Linked DNA regions of Xenopus tropicalis. The protein of the gene in region 3 interacts with the protein of the main gene of each other region in a pairwise test. Links are inferred from orthologs where the notes say so. Each region holds a gene or a part of one and is shown on either strand. Other genes may lie near its edges.

Region 1 (5,916 bases), on a different chromosome or scaffold from region 3:
AGACCAATGCAGCCTCAGACAAACAGAGCCATGGCTTGATATTGCAGAACAAAAAATTAGTTAAGTTATATTTCTTTCAACTAGATTTGTGATCACAAACGCATAAAATAAAGACCATGATGCTCACCTTACAAATACAATGTAAGTACGCTTATGGCAGGTTTCCATTTCATTATATACAGTCAGCTTGATACATGCTCATTCTTAAATGCACTGTAATAGATCAATCTGGCGTTCAGTGGGTGAGCTGTGCAGCTGTGCCAGCAAATCACTAATGAATACGGGAAAGAGGCACCTCTTGTGAAACTATTCGGCGTGCGAGCCGAATGCCAGCACAGCCTATATACTCGAGTATAAGCCAAGCATGAGTTTTTAAGCACATTTTTCGGCTTATACTCGAGTATATACGGTATTTTCTTTTGGTGAAATTAAATGTAACTCCTGCAGTTGTTTCCTACTTTTGACTTGTAAAATGAATTAAATGTTATTTAGCAAGGGCGACAAAACGTTTGCATTGAGTATCATCTTTTCAAAAGTTTAAAATGTGTTTGTTGCATCAATGTTTTTCTAGTGGCTCTAGAAAAGATGGATTCCATGCTGTCTGCTGAGGCTGCCTGGACCTCACAATATAAAGATATATCTGATGTGGATGAAATGAAGGTTCCAGATTCTGCTGAAACATTTATGACTCTCCTACTTGTTATCACAGGTAACTCAAAGGCTGTCCCAAACAGTGCTACCTCAGTCTACTTCTTTTCATGCTAGGAGAGCCCACTATAACAGATATTAATTTATCACCCAGTGACCAAATGCTACTTTGTTCATTTAACTATAAGGCTTATAGCACATGAGCCAAAAAAACTCAAATAAGCTCTCTTGCAACCTGTTCATGTGAATGGAATCTAATTCTAATAACATAGATGTGGCATATGAAATAAATGAGATCCTTGAGCATTGCTACTATGTATTCAGACTTTTAACATGCAACTACCCATAGTTCCTCTGGTGGCCCCACTTATTATAATGTTGATGGTTGTATGAGCTTGTGTTTTTTTTAGACAGGTACAGAAATTTGCCCACAGCATCCAGAAAGCTAAAATTCCTGGAGCTGCAAAAGGACTTAGTTGATGACTTCAGGATACGTTTAACACAAGTGATGAAGGAAGAGAGCAGAGATCCCCTGGGCTTCAGATATTGTGCAATACTCAATGCTGTCAACTACATTGCAACAGTTCTTGGAGATTGGGCTGACAATGTTGTAAGTAAGACCCATACTATTAATTGCCGCCACTGGGGCATACTCAGTCTTTTATTCCTCCTATCCACACATCTTGGAGAGATGAGATGGAGGGGTAACAGTTATATGTAGTCTGCTTTAGGCATTAAAACACCAAGACAATGTAGCTAGACTTGTGTGACCATTGCTTGTCTGCATTATTGTTCCTTTGTCACTTATCAGAATGCAGTGCTAACTTCCATAGCTCAAAATTTAGTTGTGCCCTTGCCCTAACTTTCCTTCTGTGTTTCCAGTTTTTTTTACAGCTTCAACAGGCTGCTCTGGAGATTTGCACAGATCTCAATGCCAGCAGTAAGCTACAGCTTGGGCAGCTGGCTTCCATGGAAATATCTGTCTTCGATGACCTGATCAACCTTCTGGAGCGTCTAAAAAATGACATGCTATCTCGTCAGGTAGAACATGTATTTAAAGAGGTCAAGGAGGCTGCAAGAATGTACAAAAAAGAAAGGTAAACGTAAAACCTTCAGATTCTAATCTGCACTTTCTAATATTCTACCACTAATATGGCAGAGCAAAAATTTTAATTCTTACTGGCAAAACTAAAAAAAAATATGCATTTTTAAGACTCAGTTCATAAACCATAAGAAATCAAATCACCTGGAAAATTTCTGTTCCCCCCAATTCATTTTTTTTTTTGTTAAAAATTTTCAAATACCTTTGTCCTTTAGTAAATACAAGTGTTTGTGCATTGACCATTGCAGTGTTACAAGAAGTTATTACAAAGCAGTACCCAAAAAATTATTCAGGCACTGTGATACCCCTGCTTTGTAGGTATTACAATCTACAGTATGTCTGGTAACATAAGCATGTTAAGTGACCTGCAAAAGCCATGTCAACAAAAAATCAATTAGCTATAGATATTACCATATCTATCTGTATTCTTTTTTATCAATAGCATGTAAATACATTTTTAAATCTGATAAGGAAAATGATTGCTGCAGGTTGTTGCTAAACTGACCAAAATGTTATTGGTTGTTGCAGGTGGCTGTCACTGCCTTCACAATCAGAACAAGCTGTCATGTCCCTGTCTAGCACAGCCTGCCCAATGCTTCTGGCACTGAGAGACCGCCTCTTGCAAATGGAGCAGCAGCTATGTCATGCTTTGTTTAAAACTGTCTGGCAGATGCTTGCTGAGAAGTTGGATCTGTTCATTTATCAGGATGTTAGTACTCATTTCAGCTGAAACATATTTGTACTGTATAGGCACAACTCATTTATTGAGCTTTATTTTTCTTAGATAATCCTGGCAAATCATTTCAACGAAGGGGGAGCAGCACAGCTACAGTTTGATATGTCACGGAATCTCTTCCCTTTATTCTCTCACTATTGTAAAAGACCAGAGAATTATTTTAAACAGTAAGTGATTACGCTCTATAGAATGTCCTTTCCTGTTGCCTGGCCCAGTTACAGCATGCTGAGGGATTTTGCAGGGCTGGTACTGTGGTGCCATGGACACTAACTAAGAACATTAATGTGGTTGGTTCCTAATGCTATTTCATGCAACACTGATCCTTAAAGCTTTAACTTCAACCCAAACATATATGTTTGCAGTACAGGATTGGGGGGAAAAAAGGTATTCACAGTTCCTGAATTTTATTTACCAGGAAGTAATTACAATTGGATATTTTAATAATATAGGCAGGAAACATCTTTAATTTGAATACTTACTGGGACTGATGGAGAATACAATCATGTACCTCCATATCAAACCAATAGAAAAAAAGCAGAAAGCAAATATTGTGTATTTCATCACAATTTGCCTTTATTCTCACAACTACTATTGAGACTGAGAATGAAAGGTGCTATGATGCTATATTCACGAGGAAGTGCGCTGTCACAAAACAATTAAGACCTCAAGCTGTGTTTTTTAGATGTGCAAATAAAGGTTGATCAATTTTAATATTAACTGTTGCGGCTTTTTATGCTTACCTGAAGTGCACTGCCAATGTGTGAAACTTTGTGACATGATGCTACTGGTTCCCCAAACAAGTCCAATACTTAAAAGGGTAAATATAAACCTGTGTTCAAAGTAAACCAGGGCTTATATTGGGAAATTGTGGTTAAGTTAATATGAGCATTTCTATTTTGGCGCATATTAAACATGAGGATATATTCTTTACAAATGTTACTGCCAAATAACTGCAGATCTAGCCTCCATGCAGAATTAAAGCGAAGACTCATGCATAAATATATTATATATATATATATAATTTTTTTTTTTTAACCATTTTTGTTAAGCTTTTCCAGAAAAAAGCCATGTTCATCCGCATAAGTTAATTGCTGTCCCTACATAATCGTATTTTCAATATTGTGTCTAAAGGCCCATAATTTGTTTCTTAAAAAAGAGAAATCTTCATAGCCAGGTGTTTCTGAATTCTGCTTTTTTGGTAGTGTGGAGAGATCTTCACATTCATATATATTCTGCATCCCCAACAGTGTGAAAGAAGCCTGCATCATCCTGAATTTGAATGTGGGACCAGCCCTGCTGCTAAAGGACGTTCTTCAGACTGCCAGTGAGAGTATGAATGCATGCAGTTCTAACGACAAACTCCCGTCTTCAACAGCTGCCTTGAATGAACTTGGGATCTATAAGCTAGCGCCACAAGATGTTGAAATTCTTTTCAATTTGCGAACAAACTGGCCAAATGCTGGAAAGTAACACTTCCTGAAGTTTCCTTTACATTGGTCAAGGTACATTGTACAGCTGTATAGCAACTGCAATGTGATCATTAAAACTCTACATTTTTACCACTGCCCGTTAACTACTAGCAATTCTTTACAGAGCTTACAGAGTATCATTCACATCAGTTCCTATCCCAGTGAAGCTGGCAATATAAGGTCCTTATCACATTCACTCAATACACTAGGGTCAGTGTTATCAGGAACCAATTAACCTACCAATATATTTTTGAAAGTGGGGGGAAAAAAACATGCCAATCTGGAGAGGACATAAAAACTCCTTTCAGATGCAAGAATCAAATATAATATCATATTGTTAAAATCATCTTTTTTTTATTTTGCAAAATAATAATAATAAATTCTTTTAAGGTTTAATTGCTGAATGTTATCTTTAACAAAATACATAGACACAAATCGCAAAAATACAAGTAAACAAACTGAAAGCTATATAGTAAAGATGCTAAGATTTAAATGTTGCGCAAGCAGATTTCAATTGGATCCTCCTGCAGAGAAAGAAAATACAGTAATAAATTCATTATCCATAAGAGAACACTAATCATAATAATAAAAATTTGGCCTGGTGGGGGGGAAAAAAAATAAATACTTGCTTCCCCGATCTCTCCCATGCTCTAAAATAATTGTACAAATGGTGACAGGACTGTGCGCTTCAATAAATACAGCACACAGTCCTAGCATCTTCCACCAGTGGTGTATGATTTTAGGACAGCCTTAAGTGTGGATGATAGCAAATACCCACAGTAAACTCTCTTGACAAATATTCTAAAAATTCTGAAGTGTCTGAATTCTATAAAACTTTTCAGCACCCAAACACAGAACCTATTCACTTTTGTGGCTTTATGTGATATTATTGGGGACCATATTTTATCTGAAGGGTGGTTGTTCAAAATGACAATATATATATATATATATATATATATATATATATATATTTCCTCTGGAGAGAATCCTCCCCCAGTCTTTTTAAAACCAATCTAAAAGACTACCTTTTGGAGCACTCACCCAGCACCTGATCTGGGAAATAGCACTTATATTGTAATGTCACCCACTGTGACCTACAGCACTTATATTTGCCTATTTGTGTCTGTAAGTTACCCTCCCATATAGATTGTAAGCTCTACGGGGCAGGGACCTCCATCCTCTTGTGTCTTAACTTATTGCAACTGTATCTTGTATTATTTGTATTTATTGTTATACTTTGTATTTTTTTCTACTATCTTATTAACCCCCTGTTTGTATTAATGTATTCTACTGTACAGCACTGTGTACATAAGTAGCGCTTTATAAATAAAAATATACATACATATATATATATATATATATATATATATATATATATATATATATATAAATAGTCACATTTAAACAACCACCCTTCAGATAAAATATGGTATTTTTATTGTATCGCCCTGAATACATCAATACTTCCTGCCCCTGATATTATTTGCCAGTTAGTAAAACTTTATCATAATATTAATGTGAACTAAATGTGATACTAACACCAACAATCTGCTTCCCTTAAAGCAGAAAAAAAGATTAGCTGTATTGACTACTATTAGTTATGAAATCATGTATATATCATATGAAATCAGTGATACATTATGTGACTAACACAGGTCCAATACACTGACAAAATATATGATTTCATAATTAATAGTAGTCAATACAGCTAATCATTTTTTTTCTGCTTTAAGGGAAGCAGATTGTTGGTGTTAGTATCACATTTAGTTCACATTAATATTATGATAAAGTTTTACTAACTGGCAAATAATATCAGGGCCAGGAAGTATTGATGTATTCAGGGCAATACAATAAAAAGGGAAAAAATGATATGTAGGCTGAGAAATACACTGAAAACTCATATTTACAAGCACTTACATGCCATGTTTAAAAAGCTCCAGTGTAATTTTCCCTCCAGGTTC
Region 2 (6,452 bases), on a different chromosome or scaffold from region 3:
GCCCATACTTCAAAATCTGTAGTGCTTCAGATTTCCAAAGTAGCCTAAATTTTCATGCAGCATATGTTTCACCACTAGCGATTTCCATTTTAGCCAGCGGGTGGAAAACAAGAGACGTTTTGTCATTCCTGGTAGCAAAGATTTATTGCAGTCAACAAAATGTCCTATGTGCCACTACCCTTACTTGGAAAAAAAAATCTCAGAAGTTTGGTTTACTAAATACCTTGGTCAGAAAGACAGGGAATAAGGACTAGAATGTGTGGTGGCTCAGCAATCCATTGAAAAGGGCTCCATTTACTGGTGAATTCAGAGATATCCAGAATATTTGATGTCCTCTTGGGTAAAACTCTTGTCTAGGGCATTTAAATTCTTATTTCATGAAATGTTCACATACAATAAAAAAAATCATTATGACAAAAGACATAAGGCCCTTACCTACACAGTGAATTGCTCTTTACTGCATCGGAGGTAAAATTATTAGCTACATAACTCAGTCTGTCAGTTTCCGCAGCCTAAAAATGTAAAGTGTAGAATTTGTTAGCCTACTTAACCATTTACAACTAGTTTAATTGTGACACCCTCTGAAATAATACAGCTTTAATTCTTAACGCATTCTGAGCTGTGGGTGAGATCTCAACATCTCTGCTGAGATCTTCACCCAACCCCTGACCCAGGAATTGGAGCATGCTCAATTGTTCAAGGCTTTCTGCATTACGAATCTTAGTGATATCATAACATCAAAGATGGTGAATGTGAACATCAAAGCACCCAGAAAAGCAATTAAAAAGGATAAGCAAAAGCATTTCAGGAGGCAGTGAGGGGGTACTAGTAGGTAGAAAATTATATATATTTTTTTCTAATCATTTAAAGCTGGTTACTATATACATGGAGTAGGTTCTCGCAGTGCATGCATGGGGATTAAGAATAGAAGTGATAAGAAAATTAAAAGTGTAAAGCTAAAGTCACATTAAGCATTAGCCCAGCTCAGAAGCATATGTGCTCTCTTCTGCAGCTGTGTGTAGACAAGTACAGCTTCAGCCTGAGCGCAGCTACACAGAGCGCAGATGGCCCAAGCTGCAGAAGAGTGGATCTGCTTCTCTCCGCCTGCCCATAAAATTCAGGCGGAAACAAGCAGAGCTGACACTTAAGGGGGTGATTTAGCAATGTTGGAGTTTGATTTTTTTTCAGAATTCAAGTTTTCTAACACCAAAAATAGCACGATTCGAATTGTGGTTAAAAAACTCGAAATATATTGAAAAAAATTGAAAAATATGGAGGATATTAACAAGTGTATCACAGTGTGACTTCTGTCATGATGCTCTTACCAGAATCCTCTGTCTTTTTGCCTTAGGATTGTTGTCATCTTTGTTGCTGTATAAAGTGAAATTCACACTTTCAGGGGACTGGATAGTTCCATTGGAAAACTGTACTGCATAAAAGGAAATTGGGTGATTAAAACATTATTGGGGATGGGAAGAACATTTCTCTTATATTTCTGGCATCATGCAGATACATTTTCCTACAACTTATTATTTTATTCAGGTGAAAAGGTTGTGATATAATTGGTTAAGACCATCACATCATTAAGAGCAATGGCCTATGGGGAGATTAGTCGCCCGCAGTTCATTCCAGGTACTGTGTGCGACTAATCTCCCTAAATTGCCGATGGAAAAGCAAACTTCGTTTTCCAAAGCTGCACAAACTTTTCTGCAGGAGGAATCTTTGAATAACTTTGTTAAAAGGCAGCAACGTGTATGCCTTTCCACTGACGATTCACTTTATTGCAGGAGGAAAGGCATTTTAGGGAGGTAAACTGCCCGAGGTAGAAGAGGTTTAGGGCAGTGGAACACAGGGAGATTAGTGGCCCGTGATATTTCTTCACTATCGTGGGCAACTAATTTCCCCGACATGCCATCCCGCCAGCAAGAATAAGAATCGCTAGTGGGATGGTATATGTATCGCTTCGGTCGCCTGAAGTTGCCTCACAAGGGAACTTTGGAAAACGGAAGCAATGTGTATGCCATCCCACCGGCGATTTACATTCTTGCTGGCGGGATGACATGTCTGGGATATTAGTCTCCCTGTGTACCACTGCCCTTAACCTTGGACCAATAGTCTCCCTGTTGAACATCAGCCATAAGGGCTATGACACACAAACTTGCTGTGGCTACAAAAAGTCAGAAAATATCCTGCCATAGACAGCACTGAGTCGTCACTGCTAAAACACACAGAGACAATTATCAGTATTGTCTATCTTGTAGTTGCTACAAGTAGCTCAGTGTGTCATTGTCCTGGGGATTATGTGGCTCATTTTTTGGTCCCATGCATAGGTCAAGAATCCCTGCCTACAGGTTCAGCCTTGGAAGCTACAGCATTCCATAATGATGGCACCGCTTATACGTATTAAATAAACAAGATCAATTTAACAAGCATTAGGGATACAGTCTCAGCTCAAAATGTTGTAAGAGAGAGGACTGACCAGACGTATCTATGCGCAGTCCCTTACCTACTAAAGCTCCCTTGCCATGTTGTGGGGCGCCATGATATTCCCATGTAGCTCTAGAAGCCATAGTTCCCCGGCCACTTCTCGGCACCCACGTGTGCACCTTGTTGTGCAGTAAAGCACTTCCCGACTGCCGAGTGGGAGGAGCCGCGGAAAACAAGCCCTGTTAACAGTATGACCCTATGTATCCGTGCGCTTAGGAATTGTGAGAGCGACACCTACAGGACAGTTCTATGTAGGCGTTTCCAACGTGCCAAGCGCCTTTGTACATACTAATGTAAGTCTCCGTGAGGCGGAGAAAAAGCGACAACTCGCTCAGTGGCCTGAACTTCATTCACTCCCACTGCCCTGTGTGTGCCAGTCTGTAGGCATGCGCAAGAGTTATGTATGAGTGAGCGCGCCTGACCGGATAACAGTGCTCACAATTACGGACGCAAGCGCCTATTGGAGTTTTTTTCACTCATAATCCTAAATTATTATGTTCTGAACAAGATTTTATTCCAGACGTGACTGTCAGCGAGACGTGCTTAGTGCCACACCAGGTTGAAGCGAGGGAAGTGAGCAATCTAGTGGCGACGTCCCCCCCACCAAAACGCGGGAGCGAGCGTCTCCTCCCTCTGACTGTCAAGCGGCGGCGGGTTGGTAGACAGGAACAGAGAGGTTGTGGTGTCTGCAGCACCTCCGCCTGTCTGACACTGTGTCTCCGCCCTCCCATAACTACCATCCTCGGTAGCTTTACGTCCCTTCTGTCTGCTGTGCCTCCGCCCGGTCTGCTCGTCACGTCCGGTAGCCTAAGGAGGCCGGGATTAGTAGCAGGACCCCGGGTAGGGGGAGCGGTCTGGCAGACACAAAGAGGCCGCGGCGTGACCGAGGCCTGGGCCTTCAGGCACAAACAGGTGAGGGGGAAAACTGCAGGCTCTCTAAGTGACAGACCCTTTTCAACTGGCCCCGTACTCGTAGCCACTTGTTTGTATAATATTTGCCTTACCGTGTGAATTAACTAGGCCTTGCAGCTATCCAACTACAACTACCTGCAATCGCTGATGGGTTCTGTGAGCTGTACTTACACGACATGGGGAACTCTAGCTTTGTTTATGTGTAAGGGAAATGTCTACTTAATGAGAGGGATTGTCACTTGTAAGTATAATGTATTAAATCAAATCTGTAATGCACAGTATGCAAGGACTCTCATTCATAGAAGTTGGGCATGCTGTGCATATCTAACTAGTTTGTACTGCATACTTTGTGGTCATAAGCATTTCCTTTGCAATGCTGCTCTTGTTGGACTACATTTCCCATGATCCTACTGCTGGTGGGTGCTTAATTATGCTGCTTAAGTCTGAGTGTACTGACTGGTAGAGTGTGTCAAAATGCTCCACACATTGTGGTTAAGGCTATAGAAGGTTTTGCTTTTCATAGATGCTTCCCCATTTCATGTGTCTCTTAAGGTGATTTAGGGGCAAAATGCAGTCCAGTTATTCCCCTTTGGGTATGGATTACTAAAATAAACGCCAGGGAAAATGCCCAAGATCTCACCATGTGCTATTGCCCTTCGTTCTTTACCATATTTACATACTGTGTTTAATAGCGTTCACTTGAATCATGCAATTGTGTGTTTTAGATAGGGGCAATTTAGGTGAAAATTGCCCTGGAATTTGACAAAGTAGTACTTCTTAAAGGAACAGTAACACCAAAAAATGAAAGAGCTTTAAAGTAATAAAAATATAATGCACTGGTAAAACTGGTGTGTTTGCTACAGTAACACTACTATAATTTATATAATAAGCTGCTGTGTAGCCCCGGGGGCAGCCATTCAAGCTGGAAAAAAGGAGAAAAGGCACAGGTTACATAGCAGATAACAGATAAGTTCTGTAGAATACAGTAGTGTTTTATCTGTTATCTGCTATGTGCCTGTGCCTTTTCTCCTTTGAATGGCTGCCTCCATGGCTACATAGCAGCTTATTTATATAAATTATAGTAGACTTTCTGAAGTAAACACACAACTTTTACCAGTGCAGGGCAGCAGCACATTATATTTTAGTTACTTTTATACATTTTTATATTTTGGTGTTACTGTTCCTTTAAACACCTAGGGATTGCTCCTCAGTGGCTGACACTTGCAGATGCTGCGGCATTTATATAAGTACTCTCTGACTTACTGACTTGTCTGTCCCTCATTGTACTTCCATATATGAATTCCATATAGCAGATGCACACTAGAGACTATACACAGTTATTCCTAAGAACAGTGTTTTCTTCCAAGAAACTGCAGATACACATTTAGCCTTTTAAAGTTTTAAAAGTTCTGGTTACTACTTAGATGGGAAAGTTTTACAGATTATTGGATCTGTTATCTGGAATGTTTGGGACTTGGGGGTATTTTTTTAGATGAGTCATTTTATAATACATTTATTTTAGCTTTGATATTATCAAGTGCATGGCTCTGTTCTATTATTACAGAGAAAAAGTAAACCACTCAAAAATGACTGATTTGTTTAAAGGAGAAGAAAGCCATAATCACTAGGGGGTGGCATTTTTTAGCACCTCACAGTGATTGTAATTGTTTGAGACCCCAGGTTAGTGCTTCCAGTAATTGAAAATGTCACTGGTTTTGGGTACTACTGTAGAAGCACAAAATCCCTGTCATTTTCTTATCGTCTCTATGACCAGGGTCTGGGAGCACAGTAGAGGAATGAGCAGAACTAAAAAGCTAACCTTTTCACTTTGGGGCTGGGATTCTGTGAGAAATGGCATTGCTGTATTTCAGAGATTTCTTGATAACGGGCTTCTTATTACATCTGTTTTGGTTATTTGAATACAATGTTATATACATTTTAATAACCTTCTAATCTTTCCAGTTATAGTTGTTGTTTTTACATTTTTCAACAAACATGGTTTCTCACAAAGCATATAACACCCATGGTTTCACCAATTGCTATTGGCACAATGGATGTTTGACCACCCTAGTCATCCAGCAAATATTGAGGTGCTACTGCCCTTAAAGTGCCGTGTCTGAAGCACACAGCATTATCATTCAAAATAAAACTTACTTAAGCATTTTACAGGTCAAAATGCTCAATTGTCATTAGCATAAAAGTGACAACAAACAAACAAAAATAAACTCATCAATGTGTACTCTGTGCCATATATAATAGTAAAAAAACACAGATCAGAAAGTATGAATTTATAAATAAAGTAATGAATGCTTGACTGAGAGCAATGATGTTTTACACTTTACAGTGTAGTATAAAGAGAAACAGACTGGTCCATTAAACTGGACACAGTGACAAAGAAGAAGCATGATGGCATGTGGCGAGATACACAGAAAGCAGCGCACAAACTTGCTCTAACCAGCAAGCCTCAAGAAAAGCAAATACAGGTATGGGATCCATTATCCGGAATCCCATTATTCAGAAAGTTCTGAATTACGGAAATGCCATCTCCCATACACTCCATTATAAGAAAATAATTCTAATATTTAAAAATGATTTCCTTTTTCTCTGTAATAATAAAACAGTACCTTGTTCTTGATCCCAACTAAGATATAATTAATCCTCATCCTCAACAATCCTATTGGGTTTAAATGATATTTAAATGATTTTTTTAGTAGACTTAAGATATGGAGATCCAAATTACGGAAAGATCCCTTATCCGGAAAGCCCCGGGTTCTGCGCATTCTGGATAACAGGTCCCATACCTGTATAACATTGTATGCATATTTTTTATTAATAGTGATGTTTTATTTTAATTTTGTTACCTGTTTGCTAAGAATGAAAATGTCACATAAAGAGGAATTTAATAAAACTATACAGTATATATTGCAATTATAAAACATTACCCACTTTCAGACCAATGGTTGCAATAGGTTTTTCACATATGTAATCACCACAGATCTCTGTTTCCGGTGAGAAATCTACTATCTCCACAGCTTAGGCTTTGCACTGACAGG
Region 3 (5,916 bases):
GCAACAAAACTTGGGTGCTAGTACAAAAAAAATGCACTGGAACAAGGAAAGCACTCCTAGGATTTAAAGAGTTGTGAGCAAAATGTAAATGCAAAAATAGAAAATTTATTACTTGACATTTTGGTCTCACACAGAAACTTTCCAGATGAATAAACCTTTCCATTTTTGCATTTACATTTTGCTCACAATTCTTTAAATCCTAGGAGTGCTGCCCTTGTTCCAGTATATATATTTATTTATATTTGCAAAAGGAGAAGAACCCCTTACTTACCTAATGGAGAGTCTATTACAATTTACATGAACACACATAATGAGACAGATGAGAAGGAGTTAAAGTACTTTGCCTTGGTGCCAAGTATGATATCACTCTCCCCAGTCAGTATCCTGGCAGTGGGTAATTACAGACAGCAAGGCAGGCAGCAGTGGGTATAATTATGAAGATAAGGATACGCATGTGGGTAATACTTGAACCAGCAGGTCTCTCCTTAGGCCACCAGCTTCAGAGACTGGCACAATTTTTCAGACCTAGGGTCAGCAGCTGTTCATTTAGTCAGATTAAATAAACTGTAGATGCCCATCCTTAAAGGAGAAGTCCTGCACTACACAACTATAACTGTACTAGTTGTGCATTCTCACTTTGCTTTTTTAATTAATAAACTGTTCCATAGAAATCAAATCTCCCAAACTGCTGTATTCAGCTCTTCCCCTGGCATCATGCCTTAAACAGGTGTTTTGTTCTTACCAGGGGAGCACACTAGCAGTCGCCCTGTGCTGCTACTCTCCTACACAGCTAATGTGCATGTCATTGGCACACATGGTAAGGGCAGGTGGGGAATGGAAATCAGGTTGTTGCCTATTTTGGGCTTTACTTAACCAAAAGGGCTGGGAGGTTTAATTTAGGGGGACTCACTGCCAAAAAAGAATAGGGAACAGATAACACTTACAAAGTGACTTCTTTAATATCCCCATAAATAAATAACAAGCCAGACAGTGAGTAATTACCAGTCTCCCCAGAATGAAGCACCAAGGGACACAGATGCTTATATAGTGTGTCTGAAAGCCTACAAGGCCAATGCCATAAAATGACTTGGCAAAGCAGTGTCTAATGATTGTACCATACCCAGGAAACACACAGTAAGTGTGTCAGTGGCTAATTATAGCCAGAAGCACATTGCAGAGTGAGACAATGGCTGATTAATTGCAATAACACCAGAACATACAGCAGGACAGGCAGCGGCAAGAAAACAGGTGTATAATGCACTAGAAAAACAAAGCAATGTGTAGCCTGATGTAATATACACTGTACAAGAATATTAGAAACAAATTCCTAGATCTTAAGCTTTTGGACATGGCCCCATTAACCTCTTTGTGTGTAGGTCCTACATTTCAGCAATGTCTGTCCCCCAAGGTAATCCATTTAATCACAATTCACAACCTGTAACTTGAAAATCCTTGTGTGTGTCTTCCCACTGATATTGTCATTGCTCTGCAGTGGGCCAACACAAAGTAGCATTTGATAATAGCAGATGCTCAGCTGCAGTGTAATCTGGGCCGATGGTAGATTCTATCCAACGTAAATGAGGGAGGGTGGTAACAATTCAATAGGAAAGGCGTAGCATTGCTCCTCATGATTGCTCTCCTATTGTTTGTGACAGGCCTGCTGTGATGGGAGGTCCCCTATCCAGCCTCTCTTTGTTTTCCTAACTCTGACAAAATGTGCACTTTTAGATCTCTCTGCCTTTAGGCTGCTGGGGACGTTACTATAAATACACAGTATAATGAGCTGATGAAATTTGAATCAAATTAGTAGCTTTCTTCCCCCAGCAAATAATCTGTTATCAGCTCCATTCCAAGCGCCTTGAGACATTTCTAGCTGGCGTCCTAGGGAGGCGTTTAAGATGATTAACTCCTCTGGTGCTAATACCAATTTCTTTCATCTAAAACCTTACCTGGCCATACATGTAATGATCAAATCGTACAAAACCTAGTTTTGTATGATTTTCAGACCGTGTGTGGACTCCGAATTATCGCCCCAATAATTTTCGTATCATGGCGATCAGTGGTTTAGTCGCTTCGTTTGACTAACAAAAAATTCTGCAAATGTATTGTGTATCATGTGATATCCTTGGGGGACCTACAGTGGAAGCCACTTTCATATGATTGGTGTCTGCCAACTATTTCATGTTCAGAACATCCTCCAATTTGTATTTTTAGGGCTTTATCTTTAAACAGTTTCAGTTTGAATGTTAGTTTCAGATCTTTGCATTTAAACGCATGACTGATATCCGAACATTCATTGGAAGAAGACTAAAATCTGAATTTTGGAGTTGTATGGAGTTAGAGTTGTATGTACCTCCATGTATAAAGTCTGTGAAAGCTATTATATCTAGGGCAGGCTTTGGCAATCCACGACCCCGTGACCAAACAACCAAAGGCCATAGGCTGTCCACCACATGCGCAGGGCATTGCAAAAAGACTGTAGACTTTGCCTGAAGAACAAGAATTATGAAGTGCTATAACGTTCAGAACTAATTGACAGTCTATGGCTATGGAAATCTGGTGCTGTAGTTCAACAAAAAGAGCTGAATGCTAGATATTCCTCAAGGTTGCCACAAAGACAGTGTGAGCACAACTAGCTCCTCCCTTGATAAGCGTCCAACACTGTCCTCAACCTAATGAGACAAAAATATGTAAAACAAGAACATGAATCACTGCCTCACACAACGGTTTGAGCAGTACAGTGCATATTCATGGACCTTGGGTCATGATACTGTATTACGTTGGTGAAATTTGGGCAGTTCGGGACATGGCATGTCTGTGGTTCAGAGAAGGACAAAAATATTTCAGTTTTCCAGTCAGAAACATAACTGGAAAGAATCAGAGCTTTGTAGCACAAATGTAGCAAAGAATGATATCAGTGTACAGTCCCATTTTTCTCAAACAATGGGTCAATGGGCTGAAATGTAACATGTTCTTGGGTCAGATTATATTAAAATGATACTATCATGCTGATAGTTTATTTTTTAAGTATTTCTGTTTCATTTTTATTGGATATGTTTATGTTGGCCTTGTCTCCCTTACTCTAGCTCTAAATCCTTTAGTAATTTAGTTGGTTTCAGATGAGGGGGTCATTTACCAACCTCATATGGGATTGGTGGTACAAGTTGTGTTTTTCAGCCATGGGAACCCTGTACTTAAGAAGGAGGTAAGTACAGGGCTCTCCAGTGCCTTGCAGCCCCTGGCCATCCCTAGCCTGTGTATCTGAATGAACTATCCCCCCCCCCCCACACACACACACACTGTACCCTCTGGTCAGTGCTGTTGAATGCAATGTTCCATCCAACTGAGGAACAGGTTAGGCCAAATACATCAAACAACTTTGGCCAGATTAAAGCATGGCAAAACTGCTGCTTTGTGAGATAAACCTATCCCTTTAGATTTTCCTATTAAAACAGAAAGTGACACATATCATGTAAGGCAATTAGTTTTCCCATAACAACAGTAGAAAGATGTATCCTCTCTAACAGCACTAGGCTTATGGTGAGACAGGATTCATTACTGCTGTAGGAATTCTTTCCTGCCATAGGAGATCCAGTGCCCGACACTGGTCTGGAGAAAATGAAGCTGGGCTGTGTCCCGCCAAGATACGTCATAGGTTGCAGGGCTGTTGCAGCATTGACCCCTGTCATAGTTATTAAACTCAAAACTAACATTGCCTTTACTTATGTTACAGGTAACCTGTCTGCACGATTTCTTTGGGGAGGATGATGTGTTCATTGCCTGTGGCCCTGAGAAGTTTAGATATGCACAAGATGACTTCTCCCTGGATGAAAATGGTAATGTCAAATGGGATTAGATTGTGGCAAATCCTTGTCGAGGCTATGTAGTATAAAAAGCTCACTCATGCGACCCTATGCTTTATACCTGTAGCAGATTGGAAGCTCTTTTCTTTGTTTATAATTTGTTTCTGTTCAGTCACACTGTTTGTATTCTTCTCAGAAAATGCTGGTGCTTTTTATATAAACTATAATAATAACTACAGCATTATTCTAAAGTTACATCAAAAGAAAATATATTTAGTTACATTTTGTGAGGGTGACAAAGGCATTGCTATGTGTCTTTCTATTTTATAACCATAAGAATTAATGGAAGCCTCCTGGAGATTAGCCTTAGGTAAGTTCATTATGGTTGAGGGACAGAGTGACAGTGAGGTGAACTGTAAAATTCAAGGTTTAATAACAAATATAATTGTCAGGAGGTTTTTTTAAGCATCTTGGCAGAGGTTTGTTGTTTATTTTAGATGAAGCATCTGGCAGAATATTGAACCTTAGGAAAATATAAACTTCATCAAATTCTGCTCCATATTTGATTCCAAATCTATTTTATACATACATGTATGAGTAGTATGTCTGTCCTTAATTATCTCCCTCGGTAGCCACTTGATATATTTCTGCATATTATACACGTACAGGGAATGAACACATGGTGTGTCTGTACCCTTCCAATGTAACACCTTTTCTCTGTTGCTAGGACTCTATGGCTAATGGCACACCTAATGTTTCTCTACCAGCAACGAAATGGCAAGCCCCCACCCCTTGTGTCCAGTAATTGATCCCTTGCGACAGGCCCAAAACTGGCCAGATGTGTATTTGCGGTAGAAAACCACCTTAACTATTGGCATTAGTGTGAATGACAGGAGGCAAAAGGGGTATAAGGGCATTTCTCCACTGAAATTCACTGGGAGAGAAACATTTGCCATTAGCCTTAATGTGTGCTAGATTATCACTATGGACAGTGAGTCATTCTCAGCGTTTCTTATTTCAGCTCTCTATAAATATTTAGTTTGCCGATCTGCTTAGTCAGAAAGATCTGTTCGAATCCATTTGCAGAACAGTCATTTGCTTGGCAACCAATTCATTTGATACAAACTCAATTGGATTCTTTTTCCACATCCTCCCCTGCAGTCGTGCAGCTAAAAATACACAGATTGCGCTCACAGACATAGTGGATATGATGTGGGTTTATGTAATGAAACAAGGCCATTCCTCGATTTCAAAACTTGGCACTGCGCGGATATTTTACATTTTGCCTGACTTCACATATGTGGGGTGGGGTGCCCTCATGGCCCAGGGAGAATACAGAGGAAATTGATTTTAGTGTGCATCATTTTACCAAATATGATGATTTACAGCAGGCTTCCCTGAATCACCTGATACTCAGTGCTGTACATTTTCCACTTAACTTGCATATTTGTATTAAAGGGGAAGTTCACTCTAAAATTAACATTACGTTTGCAGTTTGTCTTTGTTTTCAATTATTTCACTTTCTGTTCTCTAAACTAAAGCTTTAAATGCCTATAGTTGCTATGGTAATTGCTAGGGTAATGTATTTTTTTGTGTCTCTTACCTTTAATTTATCTATCAGTCTGTCATCTGTTTTGAATTTCAAAAGAATGTAGAAAATAGAAATAGAAAACAAAATTTAAAAACATTCTGAAACCACAAAAAAGATGAAAATGTGCACAGTTATTTGAAAGGTGAACATTCCCTTTACTTCAGCTTAATGACAGCTTCTACACAGACTGAATCATTTCTATAGCCCAGGGTTGGAAGGACACTGGGAAAAAACCTGGTAGGCACCACCAACCTAGGCCCACTCACCTAGGACAATTACTGACACTCCCCAGTCCAGAGCCACCCCCTCTCGCCCTATCACAGCTGTAAGTTAAAGAGGAGGAAGGAGGTAAGAGGTATATTTCACAGCCTGGGCTGGGGGCCCTTAAGGTGGAAAGGAGGGCCGCCTGTATGCGGTAGAAAAATCAAGAAACTACATTGCGCCCCACTGATCTATGAATTTCTGGGAGGGGGCAGCAAGTGCAGGATAGTGTGTATAGGAAGGTATATTGGGTATAGCTGT
Region 4 (5,916 bases), on a different chromosome or scaffold from region 3:
TAAAGTGTCAAATTAAATGAGTGATCAAGTGTGAGGCTCATTGGGCTTTAAAAGACATTTCTACATGTGTATGAATTATGTGTTACAATACATATATATTATTTTGTGGTGACAACACCACCAGGGATATTTGCCAGATAAGCAAACAGCTGCATGTTACAAAGTATGGCGTCCAACTTATTCTCACATTCCATTATATTGATTTTTGGCTTTACTAGAGGCTGGAGGAGGCAAGGCACTATCATTATGGCTATTGAGCTTGATTTCCATGAATTTTACATAATTGTAAAGTTTTGCTCTGCTGCAAAGTTAATATCATTTCAAATCATTGCAGTGTGAGGAAGCCATATTTATAAACAGAATGTATCAGCCATATTATATTTGTATTCATGCCATGGAGTAGGATCAAGCCCTATAAAGAAGTAATCATCATACGCGCATAATGTACTAAGCAGTCTCTTCAGAATATAAATGGAAGGCTAACCCCACTTCCAAACAGTGTATATTTTCCATTTGAACATTTTGAGGAATGCAAGATGTATAAATATGTACTGGCTCTAAAAATATGATTGCGTTTTTCAGCTTTTGCCTTCAGAATGTTGTGCACCTAAGTGTTCTTTGAAGTGAATGTGTTCATAGGAATATAAAGCCTACTTCAGTTCAGTTGGTCCCTTAGTGGCCTGAATCAGGATTCTCAGGGCTTGTGTCAGCTCCATCCAGTGCTGTAACCATGTGCCACAGGCACCATTACCCCTTTATAGCTGAGACCCCTGTGGAATTGTGTTTGGTGCATGATATGATATCTGTAATTGAATTATTTATGTTGGCCGTGTAGTTAGTCCTTTATGTTACAAAAGAGATGTAACATCTTGGTGGAGTCAGCACATAATCATATGTATATGGTTACTCATTCCTTTGCCAGTTATAAATCTAAGCATTGTTCTTTTTATTCACTCGTTACCAATTAGGAGGGCATTACTATATGGTTATTAATATAAAATTATTACTATTTATTAGGTTTGTTGTATTCCCTAGGACAGTTATGACACCTTCTAAATAGTAATATTGATGCAATAACATGCCACTATGTCACTTTTCTAAAGAGTTATGAGTCTGCAGTGAAGAAAGTAAACTGATGTTTTTCCTAACAGAACTGAACCTCCCTTTGGTATTTAGTGTAGGGTAAGTCCATATAAAGCATTTAGAATTTTCATAAATATTAGGTAACGCAACAGAATAGCCATGGATCCACCTGTATATGTATCAAGTTCAAGGATATTTTACATTGCTATCCACCACAGCTCTCCCAAGAGAGTAAATCTTCAGTTATTTATTTTGTTAGGTAAAGAAGCTTTACTGAATTGCAACTGGATTGGTTCTTAATGACATGGCATGGGTTATATGGCTCATTAATATGTGATTTATTTAAGAAATAACATTTCTATATACCTGTTCTTTACGATACAGGTATATGGGTGCTGGAAGGCAACTCTGAGTTCCATGACCTGGTCATAGAACTAGTCAGTGACTTCTTTCAGTAGGGTTTATATTTAGCATATCACAGTGAAAAGAAAATCCTTCAAAGTTGGATCAGCAATGTATTTGGGTTGGATGCAGCCCTATGCGGATTCAGTCATGTGAAGTCTGTGCCAAATGTCAAAAACTTTAAAGAGTAGGGCACCCCCCTCAGATGAGAGGATTTTTTTAATTTAAACAGCTTTGTCCCCCTTAATCCACATCCAGGGTTACTCCCCTAAAGCTGTTACCCTAGACATGAACCCTCGGGTGCTGATATAGAAAATACATTCCAGTTTGAAGGTTGAAGGAGCAGGAGAAAAATTTTGGTGGCAACAAGAGGGAATGGAATTGTTGGTAGAAAGTGGGGTAGGAGGCAAATAAGTAGGTGAACTTGCTCTGGGAATCAAGTCCATTCTATAAGAGATGTTGTTTAATGAGATTCCAACATAAAATCATGAGAATATGCTTTGAAATGTTTGTTACCCTTTGTACTATGGCAAAAACTTTTAAAACACATCTGTTTCCCTTATGGAATTATGTAATAAATGGTGCCAGGGGCAGTAACTCATAGCAACCAATCAGCAAGTAGCATTGACTAGTCACCTGTTTGAAAACAAATATCTTATTGCTTAGTACCTTGTATTACATGTTGGTTAGTCTTTTATATACTTATGGAGAATCTGTACACTTACATAAATATTCTTCTCTTTTACAGGCTCACACATGCAACATGTTGCACTGAGGCCAACAAAGCCATAAGTCAACGTGGACAGAAATTGAGTTGGCACTAATGTTGAAATATGACGGCAATTTAATAAGTTACATACTAATACAACTGTCTAGAGGTGACACAATTTCAATCTGTGGTACTTATGAAACTGCTATTCCAAAATGAGCACACCTATGGTTTCAAGCAAGGAATGTTCAACTGGAAATTCCATTAACAGCAACCAAGATCAAGTTGACAACAAAAATGTGATCAGCTTAGGTGATAACAATGCCAACCAAATATACCCAACAGGGAAAACTCAGGTCTCAAGCAGCATTAAAAAACCAGGGGGGTTGTCCACATCACAGTCAGATCTTTCCCAGTCATGTGAGGAGCACAGTACATCGCTCACCTCTGGTCAGGATTCTCCATCTGGTGATCAGCCGTTGAGTGATCCAAAGTCACCATCCCTGATAGAAAGAGACATTAACAAACATTTTGTGACTGATGATGCTAAAGGCAGTTTAAAAACAACTGGAGCTTTTGATGGACATTCAAAGGCTGATGGACATTCAAAGGCGGGTGTGCTTGACAGAAGTTTGGTGTATCCTCAGAGCAGAGTTAGTGACTCTTCCCTCATTATGTGTAGTAATAACACTGGTAACCTATCACACAATGAACAGGTTAAAGGAATTTCCTTTCTGAAATCAGGTATGGTATCGACAAAATCAGAAACTTTTGCTAAAGGTCGTATTTCACCAACGCCATGTTTGATCTCCCCACCCAAGTATTTACAGATGCCAAATCACGGGATTAGGGCAACTAATTCATCAATACCAGTTGACCATTTATTTGGATTCTCTTCCCATACACACAGTTGCGGCTCAGAGGAAAAAAAGATTGTACTTTGTTCCAGGTCACCTACCTCAGATGTCCCTGAATTATCACTAGGCGAGGGAGCCTTATCAAGTGGTAATAAGCCAAGCACACTACATACCAGTCCCACAAGCACTGACCATCATTTAAGAATCCCTTCTAAACCTCAGGTAATTTTTAATATAACAGAAGCACAATTATATCAGGGTCAAACACAAAAAACTTCAGAAATTTCAGATTCCAACTTATTACAGTCTAAAAGAATTTGTCGGCACAAACAAGACCAGAGTACGATGACTGCAATTTCAGGTACCAAGACAGCAGGCAATATTTCCGAATCCAGAACATCTCCAGTTTCAAATCTTTATGCTCCGTTGGGTCATGTAGATATGTCCCAATGTTACAAAGTCATAAACCATGAAGACAAGAGTTTCGGTAGCAGCCCTAAATTATCTCATTTTAGTCTAGCACATAAGAAGCCGGATGAATATGCATCTGATATGGGGAGAGAGCTAAGCACCAAGCCTCTTATACGAAAAACAACATCACTCAGCGATTCCCTGGATAATAAACCACTTCTACATAAAGACAGAGGTTCACTTGAAAGTTTTCTTTGCCAGGACAGTGACAATAATTTTGTTTTAAGCAGCAACATGGCTTCCACAAAGGATAAAACGGCTTTAGTTGAGAGCAAAAAGGCAATTGTCGGGAGAAAACATCAGTCAGATGGTTTAAAAGGCAGCATGAAAGACAGCCAGAAGGATCTAACTGATACCTTTTCATGTGCTCCCATTTTACCAGGCCTCGTGACTGCAGTAAATATTAATGATCAGTGCATTGCCTCACCGAGCAGCTCTGTGGATCTTAATGCTGTTCATGTTGACAGATTGTCACCTTCCTCAGTTCTGCCACCTTTTGATGGTACACAAGTCTTAAACATTTCCCCTAAAGCCACTAACAAATTGCTTTGTAGTAGTGGAATTCCAAAACCAATACTAATACATTCCAAGCCTTGCCTTGCAAGTAAAGCTGATACGGACACCAATGACAATGAAAAGCCAGAAGAAGCACCTGAACCAATTCTAATCATCCCTAAACCCAAGCATGTCCGACCTAAGATTATTACCTACATTAGAAGAAACCCTCAGACAATAGACAGACTTCCATATGGTCCAGTAGGCATGCCTTTTGGTTCCCCTGCTTGCAATGTTCCAATGGCAAGAGACCATGAGGTCTTAGGCAGTGACATTAATGCTTCCAATGTCCTACTAGATAAATATAAAGCAGACCTGCAGAAACAAAGAATATATGCCGCTGGTTTAATGGTGTCTGGAATAAGGCCTCCTGGACATCATTTTGGACAGATTAATGAAAAATCAATAGACGAGGTAAGTGTTCAATGAATGTTCTTGTCCCCGGTGTCACTTTTGATCTCTCTTAAAAACGTCCATTTTTTTAATATATTATTATACCAATCATTATTTACAGAAGAAAAGTTTAATCTCTATTTTTATAGGTTTTTATTTAATCATTTCCTGTCCTTGATAGTCTTGATATAAGTTTTGAGAAGGGGGAGCCCTGAACATACTTTGAAGCAGAAGAATTTTTGAACCGAAACCACGAAAAACCACTGATCTATTGTCTAATAGTTGGTAACAGTAGGGATGAGAGACATTTTTCATCTAATACAGATTTCTTTGTGAGTGCCTAAAATGTTTACAAATCTGGGCTTACATTTTGCAATGCGATCTACTTTGCCAGTGAAAAAGTTGCCGAAACACCACTTCAGGGATGGAGCCCATTGACTCCAATGCATTTGGCTACATTTTGGTGAAATGTCACTTTTTGTGAATTTTTCTGTGGTTTTGCAAATATTCCAGCAAAGCAAAATGGGGCAGTTCTGCTCATCTCTAGTTAACAATCTTGCCATTCAATAATACCTGTATCTTCACACCCTAATGGGCTCATTTACTAACCATCAATTTTAGACTTGATTTGAATTTTTTTTTTAAAAAGTTGCAGAGAAAAAACACTGATTTACTATGCATCTAAACGGCTAAAAATCCAAATTGACAATTCTTGCAGTTTATGTAGAAGTCGATGGCAGAGATTCCTTCCCTTTCCTTAAAGTTTTTTCTTTTGTCTCAAAACTTTTGAGATTTTACTGGGTTTTTTCTGAAAATATGGATGCACCGAAAATAGGGATGCGCCGAATGTTAAGGGATTCTCCCGAATACCGAACCGAATCCAAATCCTTATTATTTGCTAATTAAGATTCGGATTTGGTCCGGCTGAATCCGAACCCTGCTGAAAAAGGCTGAATCCTGGCCGAATACTGAACCGAATACTAGATTCGGTGCATCCCTATCCGAAAATCACAACTTTTTCGAATTGTCACGTTTTTTACGACATTTCTCCGAGCAACTTTTCCTTGCAACTTTTTTAGTAAATATCAGACATTTGAAAAACAAATTTAGTCTAATTTGAAAATAAAAAATAAAATTATGGACTTTTAGTTAATCTGCCCCTTAATGTTAGTGACTCTAAAGCAGTGATCCACAGCCAGCAGTGATGATTCTACCATATACTGTAAGGGGACGATTTATCAAAATTTGAGTTTACATTTTTTGCACGGTTCAAGAAAAAATGCAGTAAAAAAAACTTTAATATACAGAGGAATATTCCTAACCACAAATAGTTGGTATTCATTAAAAAAATCCACAAAAAAAGCTGGCGAGGTTCAATAGAAGTCAATGAGAATTGTCTCTAACAATTTTATTTATATATTTCCCCAGTTTATTAAAACATTTGAG
Region 5 (6,522 bases), about 11 Mb from region 3:
GCCAGGTTGGAGCTGCAGAGTGCCATTGAGCCCTATGGGAGACTTTCCTTGGGCCGGGTTGGAGCTGCAGAGTGCCATTGAGCCCTATGGGAGACTTTCCTTGGGCCGGGTTGGAGCTGCAGAGTGCCATTGAGCCCTATGGGAGACTTTCCTTGGGCCAGGTTGGAGCTGCAGAGTGCCACTGCGTCCTATGGGAGGCTTTCCTTGGGCCAGGTTGGAGCTGCAGGGTGCCATTGAGCCCTATGGGAGACTTTCCTTGGGCCAGGTTGGAGCTGCAGAGTGCCATTGAGCCCTATGGGAGACTTTCCTTGGGCCAGGTTGGAGCTGCAGGGTGCCATTGAGCCCTATGGGAGACTTTCCTTGGGCCGGGTTGGAGATGCAGAGTGCCATTGAGCCCTATGGGAGACTTTCCTTGGGCCGGGTTGGAGCTGCAGAGTGCCATTGAGCCCTATGGGAGACTTTCCTTGGGTCAGGTTGGAGCTGCAGAGTGCCATTGAGCCCTATGGGAGACTTTCCTTGGGTCAGGTTGGAGCTGCAGAGTGCCATTGAGCCCTATGGGAGACTTTCCTTGGGCCAGGTTGGAGCTGCAGAGTGCCATTGCGTCCTATGGGAGGCTTCCAAAATCATGCACAGAAGGATCAAAGTCGGAAAGGTTTTCCCGCCGTTTACGATCATTCGATATGAAAATTGAGTGACTTTTGGATCACCAATACGATTATCGCGACTATTCCGATTTTTTTCGTTAGCATTTTCGTGATATTTGCGATCATCAGAAATTATCATATCTAATCCGAATTTTATCCATTTTGGGATTCAAACTCATACTTTGATGAATGTGCCCCCTAGACTCCTACAAGAAGCAATTTCTATCCTCCATAGGTGACATAAGCCTTATGCTGGGGCCAGACAAGTACCTGTCAGTCAGGCAGTGTTCCTCTATGGATGCAGCCAGATAGGCAGGAGTATCTATAAACACTTTCTTGGCAACACTATGCCCCCACGTGGGGTGCAGGACAATATTAAGCATTTAGCATAACACCAGCATTGACTGAATGTACAGGCCCGCCAATCTCCCCTGAGCCTTTGCACAATAGCAGTAATGTTTGAAGGCACACCTATTTTGTTGGCCACAAACTAGACATCAATGCATCAGGAACAGCAACAAGGCAAACTGTATATAGCAGTGCAACAAATGTGTCAAGCTCAATGTACCACTTTCCTATAATTTATTGTATTTTAACTACCATTGGATCAGGCCAAAAACAAAAATCATTGCACCAAATTTAGCATCCATGGACTGAGATGATCTAATAAAGTGTCTTTTAATGGAAAAAGATTTTTGAGTGCTAGCCATAAAATGTACGTGGTGGTAAGCGACTGCCGCCACATTCCCCATTAAATATTTACTTGCATGGAAGTGCTGATTTCAAGTCACACCTAATTCAGTGGTTCACAGTGGAGCCCCATTGGCTCCTATAATGTGTTTGTGCTCATTTAACAGCATTGTGTCCCCACAGTTGTATCTCTCTAGCTCTTAGAAATACAGTGCTCCATGCAGAAAGCAGTGTCAGGAGATGCAGCCCAGCCCTTTAGGCAGGCGTTAAGTACGGCGTCCCAAAGCAAGCTGCAGCTTCTTCCACTTATGTAATGTGCTTGTGCAAGATAGGGAGCGGGAGGGGAGGAAGCCTACATGCCCAATGCAGGTCGCACTTAATCCAAACAGCAGTCCACAGAGGCCAGTGGCTACACAATGACCAACGCAGTTGATAAAGTGCAAAAAAATGCCAGATTGTGAATGACCCCTATATTGTAGGTGCACTTGTGTCACAGTAACACTTCCACCTTAGGCTAAGCACAGGTCCTTTCTAGAACATTTCTACATGATGGAAGACCTTAAATGAACTAGGAAGGTGGCTGAAAAGTCTGGCATTTTGCAACAAAGATTGTTTGCAACCGTAAGGGGAGAAATTTGCCTTAAAATGAACTTTTACTATGATTCAGACCATGCATTATAAGACAATTTGCAACTGGCCCTCTGAATTATCTACATCTTCTGTTGTGCATCTGTTTTAAACAGTTATCTGGTTGCTAGAGCTTATTTACCTAGCAACCAGGCAGCAGATGGGAAGAAATAAAAAAAAATTAAGACCAACTGGGACATTGCTTATAATAGGTCTCTCTCTAACATAGTAAAGGTTTATTTAAAGGTCAGCTTGTATGGAAATAATATAAATAATACCTGGAAGAAATACAGTGTAATTTTTTTTTTTTTTTTTTGCTTTCTGCTTGCCATTATATAAGAAAATACACAGAGCTACTTTCTGATCTTGAATTAAAAGAAGAGTGAAGAAGTCTTTGTACTGAACAAACTACAGATATATTTGTTCCCTGGGGCTAGATTTCCCATCCAAGTCCTTTGCTGAATGAGCCATGTTGAAGTTGGTCCTTGGGGATGAAGAAGTCTCATTTACTGGCAACCCTTAAGCCCAGAAACATAGGGAGACTCCTGAGGTCTGGATATAGTTTCTTGCGGCTGAGACATAAAGGAGTCCATAAAATCCGGAGCAGGGAGTCCTGAGAGTATCAACACAGACTTGTTCCATATAGTGAAGGTTGGGCACACAGGGAGAATAAAGGAGATGGGGAAGGTGTGCAGGTGGAGGGAGTTGGCTGGATCATAGAAGGAAAGTGTATTATTATCATAGTCTAGGAGAACACCTAAACGTTTCAACTGAGGATTCACATCCAGAAGAGCTTCTTTGTTATTGTGTCTTACAAGAAAATTATTGTTGCATCGAGTGAAGACCCACGAGGAGGTATTCTTCCCAACCCACTCATTCCTTGGAGCGGATTTATAGGCGATTCCTATTGCATACCTGGAGGGGGAGAAAAACAAATGTAAAAAGGCGAAACCAGAACATATATGCTCCTTGCTGCAGTCTTTATATTTGAGTCATTTTACTTGAAACAATTGATGGAGGGGTATTCCCTTAATACAAATGTAGTGTATAATTACAAAATCATTTTTAAACATATTAAAACATATAATATAGTACAGGTGTGGGGCCTGTTATCCAGAATGCTTGGGACCTGGAGTTTTCCGGATAAGGGATTATTCTGTAATTTGGATCTCCATAACTTAAGTCTGCTAAAATTCATTTAAATATTGAATAAACCCAACAGGATTGTTTTGCCTCCAGTCCAAGGTACTGTTTTATTATTAGAATTATTTGCTTATAGTGGAGTCCATCGGAGATGGCCTTTCTGTGTTTTGGAACTTTCTGGATAACGGGTTTCTGGATAAGGGATCTGATACCTGTACATACCAAACACAGTGTCCCAAAAAAAAAATAAGCACTCAAGGCAGATATGTTGGTGTGTGGGAGAATACCCACGAGCAATTTTACTTGCCCAGTGTAAACACATGACAATAAGGACTCTTGTATTTCAATGCAAACAGAGTTCCTCAACAAAGGTGCAAATAAGGTGACACTATAAGATCCAGGAAGCTAAAATGTCTATTACAAGTGCTATGAAAAGACAATTTACATATACCACATAGGCCCACCAGTATACAAGAAAAACTCAGCCCTTCACTCACCATTTGGCCTTGTATGCTGTATATCATGATCAGTTCAGATTACGGTATGAGAACAAAACAGGGGAAAAAAACTTAAGGGAAGGACAGATGATCCTCTTGGGGTAATTTATTAAGTGCAGGGCAGGGTGCACACAATAACCCATGTTTTTTGCAGTTTGTGCCCTGTTCTGAAACTTAAAAAATTGTAATAGGTCTCTGCACACAAAAACGGAGCACAAAGACCTGTATCTCCACCTGTGAACAGACTGCTGCCTTCATGATGGGCGGGTGTAGGCAAGTAGGCGTCCTGCCACACAGTTACACAAGGCTGCCCAGTGTCCAACACCAACGCAATCTGCACTTAGTGATAGATTTCCAATCCAGCGCTAGGGTTGCCACCTGCCCATTATTTTACCAGCCTAGCCAGGAAAAAATGATTCTTCATTCCAATGTTATTAACAGGGAAAAAGCATACAAATATAGGAAAGCTGGTAGTTTTTTCAAGAAAAGGTGGCAACCCTATCCGGCATGGGGTGCAGAGTGCAGCCAGACCCGGACGCAAGTGCATTATAGTACACTATGGGGCAGATTTACTAATCCACGAACGGATCGAAAGCATCCGAACGCGTTTTTTTATAATGATCAGTATTTTTGCGACTTTTTTTCGTCGCCGTTGCGAAAAAAAATGGATTGGTTTTTCCATCGTTTACTATCGCTCAATACAAAAAAATCCCAACAGCGACAAAAAAGTCACGCAAAATACGGTAAACTAGGAGAATAAAGAAGGCAAAAAAAGACAGGAGGAGCATTATTTTGAAAAATGAGCCCTTGCACGACATTGTAAAAAAGCGATATATAATAAACAAGAGCCATAATTATATATCCTTAAAACTGTGCTTGGTAATGTCATCAGTTATATCTGTGCTTAGTGATGTAATTTATTTATATATATATATATTTTACAACATTTTCCAGGTTGTCATAACAAGCAGAATAATAACCGAATGCATTGTGCATCCCTCTTTGACCGATATGTCAACCCTTCCTCCTTTGAAATCATTGCGTTAATCTAATTATGAGAGGAAAAAGCAAATCAATTCACTGTTTATTTGACGAGAAGAGATTTGTCTTAAGTGTCATTTAATGGTAGCAGAAAGTAAACGTTTTGCCTCTGCGTATCTGTGCCGAGACCCTGACTAATGCACAACAATGTTAAAAATGCATTAACCGCACACTGTCACTTGCATGGGATTCTGGGTAATATGTCCGCACAAATCAAGGATTTTGCTGGTGGCTTTTTATTCTATTAACTCTGCACAACACATTTTTTCTGCTGCAACCTGAACATTACCAACACCTCTGCAGAAAGGAGTGGGGTAATTTTACGCTTAGGAAGCCTGAAGTGCTATGTACCTTATTAAAAATGAATGTTTGAGGACTGCACGCTGCATGTTAAACAGAATCAGCGTGAGATTTTAAAGCCGAGCCGACAGCATCATTGTAATAGGAGTTGTCAGGAACCAACTGACCACATAGTGCAGGACCCGGGGGGGAGAGGGAGAGTGCAGGATTCACACAGGGCCATTAAAAGTTATAATAACTTGCTCAGACGTGCATTCAGTGATTTAACGTGCAGCGGCGTAATTTGATGTTATTGAGCCCCAAAGCAAATTCTTTATAGGGCCACCCCCACCTCAGAAACCATAGGCATGAAATCAGCTGCAATTCCTTTAGTGAGGACCCTGTCTCTGTTATTTATACCCCTGGGCACCTGCGTACGTTGGAACCTTTCCTATTTTACCTTTCTTCCCTATTAAATGGGATTGGCATCAACTATTAAACACTTTGCTGGATGGGGGAAACCCTACCCCTGGGCAACCTGCTCCTGCTACACTGCACTGATAATACAGAGAGTAGCAAGGAGCAGGTTGCACCCAGCTTAGATATGGCAGCGGGCGGCCTCTTATACCTAAATACATAACTAAGGGTACATTTGCAGCTCCCCAGAATACTGCGGCAGCTATCAGCCTTCATTGGGTTGGCTTTGAAGTAAATGGATCACAGGGCTCATCGGCAGCTGAGAAGCTGACCTAGCGTAAAGGCAAATAAATAGATGCAGGCATGGGGCCACTAATGCACAAACAGCCATAACTAGAAGACTGGAGATGGGCTGACCCATGGGTTCCCAATCTAATAAATGACTATACAGAGCTCTTACAGGGGAATGATTATTGTCCATTTATTTTTTTCGAGTAATGTATGAAGAAAAAGCCTACAGACCCTTCCCTCTCAGTAAAACTGAATTAATGCATAAGGATGCCATATATTTTTTATAGAATGAAGCAGAGAAACTCAAGCTGTTCATGGTGATTATCACTGTTGCCATTAAGGTCTACAGTCAGTTCTGAGTCATTATAAGCCATATGTCAAGGAGCAATCTGCCCATCACGCCGCTATGCTATACCCTTATACTATAATCTATTTACTGAATGAACAGCATACATCTGAAATCCTACATTGTAACTGGTACTTTATCCAGCTTTTGTATTTTAATATACATTACATTCTATTCACTTTCTATCTACTTCTATCTTTTATCTGCTGCCAAAACAACTCCCCCACCCAACCCACACACATTCAGCCCAAGGACTAGTCTATACAAAGGAACTTTAGATAAAAGATATTCAAGGCACAGAGCACAACAATATTAAAGTTAAGGCTAAATAAAAAAGATCATGCTTAGCGGAATTATGCAGAACTTTCATAAGTGCATATTAAAGGGGTAATTCAGCTTTAACATGAAGTAGACATTGATATTTTTTTCCCATTTACAATTATTCTTTATTTTTTGTGGTTTTTCAGTTATTTAGCTTTTTGTTCAGCAGCTCTCCTGTTTGGTATGTCTGCAGCTATCTGGTTGCTAGGTTCTTACTTAACCCAGC

The links.
Region 1: the proteins of dcx (region 3) and rint1 interact in binary tests that used the Homo sapiens proteins (3 or more experiments, as listed by UniProt). The two-hybrid records come from large-scale screens. The link is inferred for Xenopus tropicalis from reciprocal best matches to the Homo sapiens genes DCX and RINT1.
Region 2: the proteins of dcx (region 3) and zbtb5 interact in binary tests that used the Homo sapiens proteins (3 or more experiments, as listed by UniProt). The two-hybrid records come from large-scale screens. The link is inferred for Xenopus tropicalis from reciprocal best matches to the Homo sapiens genes DCX and ZBTB5.
Region 4: the proteins of dcx (region 3) and mtus2 interact in binary tests that used the Homo sapiens proteins (3 or more experiments, as listed by UniProt). The link is inferred for Xenopus tropicalis from reciprocal best matches to the Homo sapiens genes DCX and MTUS2.
Region 5: the proteins of dcx (region 3) and mid2 interact in binary tests that used the Homo sapiens proteins (3 or more experiments, as listed by UniProt). The two-hybrid records come from large-scale screens. The link is inferred for Xenopus tropicalis from reciprocal best matches to the Homo sapiens genes DCX and MID2.

What each region holds. Positions count from the first base shown.
Region 1 is NC_030679.2:77,077,902-77,083,817, reverse strand, and holds the end of rint1 (RAD50-interacting protein 1), read left to right. Parts: intron 1-571; coding exon 572-709; intron 710-1,058; coding exon 1,059-1,258; intron 1,259-1,530; coding exon 1,531-1,745; intron 1,746-2,278; coding exon 2,279-2,459; intron 2,460-2,534; coding exon 2,535-2,653; intron 2,654-3,733; coding exon 3,734-3,956; 3' UTR 3,957-4,351; downstream 4,352-5,916. Other genes in the region: efcab10 (EF-hand calcium-binding domain-containing protein 10), read right to left, coding at 4,437-4,479, 5,873-5,916. UniProt on the Homo sapiens protein: Involved in regulation of membrane traffic between the Golgi and the endoplasmic reticulum (ER); the function is proposed to depend on its association in the NRZ complex which is believed to play a role in SNARE assembly at the ER.
Region 2 is NC_030677.2:109,092,323-109,098,774, forward strand, and holds the start of zbtb5 (zinc finger and BTB domain-containing protein 5), read left to right. Parts: upstream 1-2,901; 5' UTR 2,902-3,399; intron 3,400-6,394; exon of another isoform or gene 6,395-6,452. UniProt on the Homo sapiens protein: May be involved in transcriptional regulation.
Region 3 is NC_030684.2:51,648,224-51,654,139, reverse strand, and holds part of dcx (neuronal migration protein doublecortin), read left to right. Parts: intron 1-3,733; coding exon 3,734-3,836; intron 3,837-5,916. UniProt on the Homo sapiens protein: Microtubule-associated protein required for initial steps of neuronal dispersion and cortex lamination during cerebral cortex development. May act by competing with the putative neuronal protein kinase DCLK1 in binding to a target protein.
Region 4 is NC_030678.2:154,662,304-154,668,219, reverse strand, and holds part of mtus2 (microtubule-associated tumor suppressor candidate 2), read left to right. Parts: intron 1-2,233; 5' UTR 2,234-2,409; coding exon 2,410-4,491; intron 4,492-5,916. UniProt on the Homo sapiens protein: Binds microtubules. Together with MAPRE1 may target the microtubule depolymerase KIF2C to the plus-end of microtubules. May regulate the dynamics of microtubules at their growing distal tip.
Region 5 is NC_030684.2:40,257,837-40,264,358, forward strand, and holds the end of mid2 (probable E3 ubiquitin-protein ligase MID2), read right to left. Parts: intron 2,877-6,522; coding exon 2,468-2,876; 3' UTR 2,165-2,467; downstream 1-2,164. UniProt on the Homo sapiens protein: E3 ubiquitin ligase that plays a role in microtubule stabilization. Mediates the 'Lys-48'-linked polyubiquitination of LRRK2 to drive its localization to microtubules and its proteasomal degradation in neurons.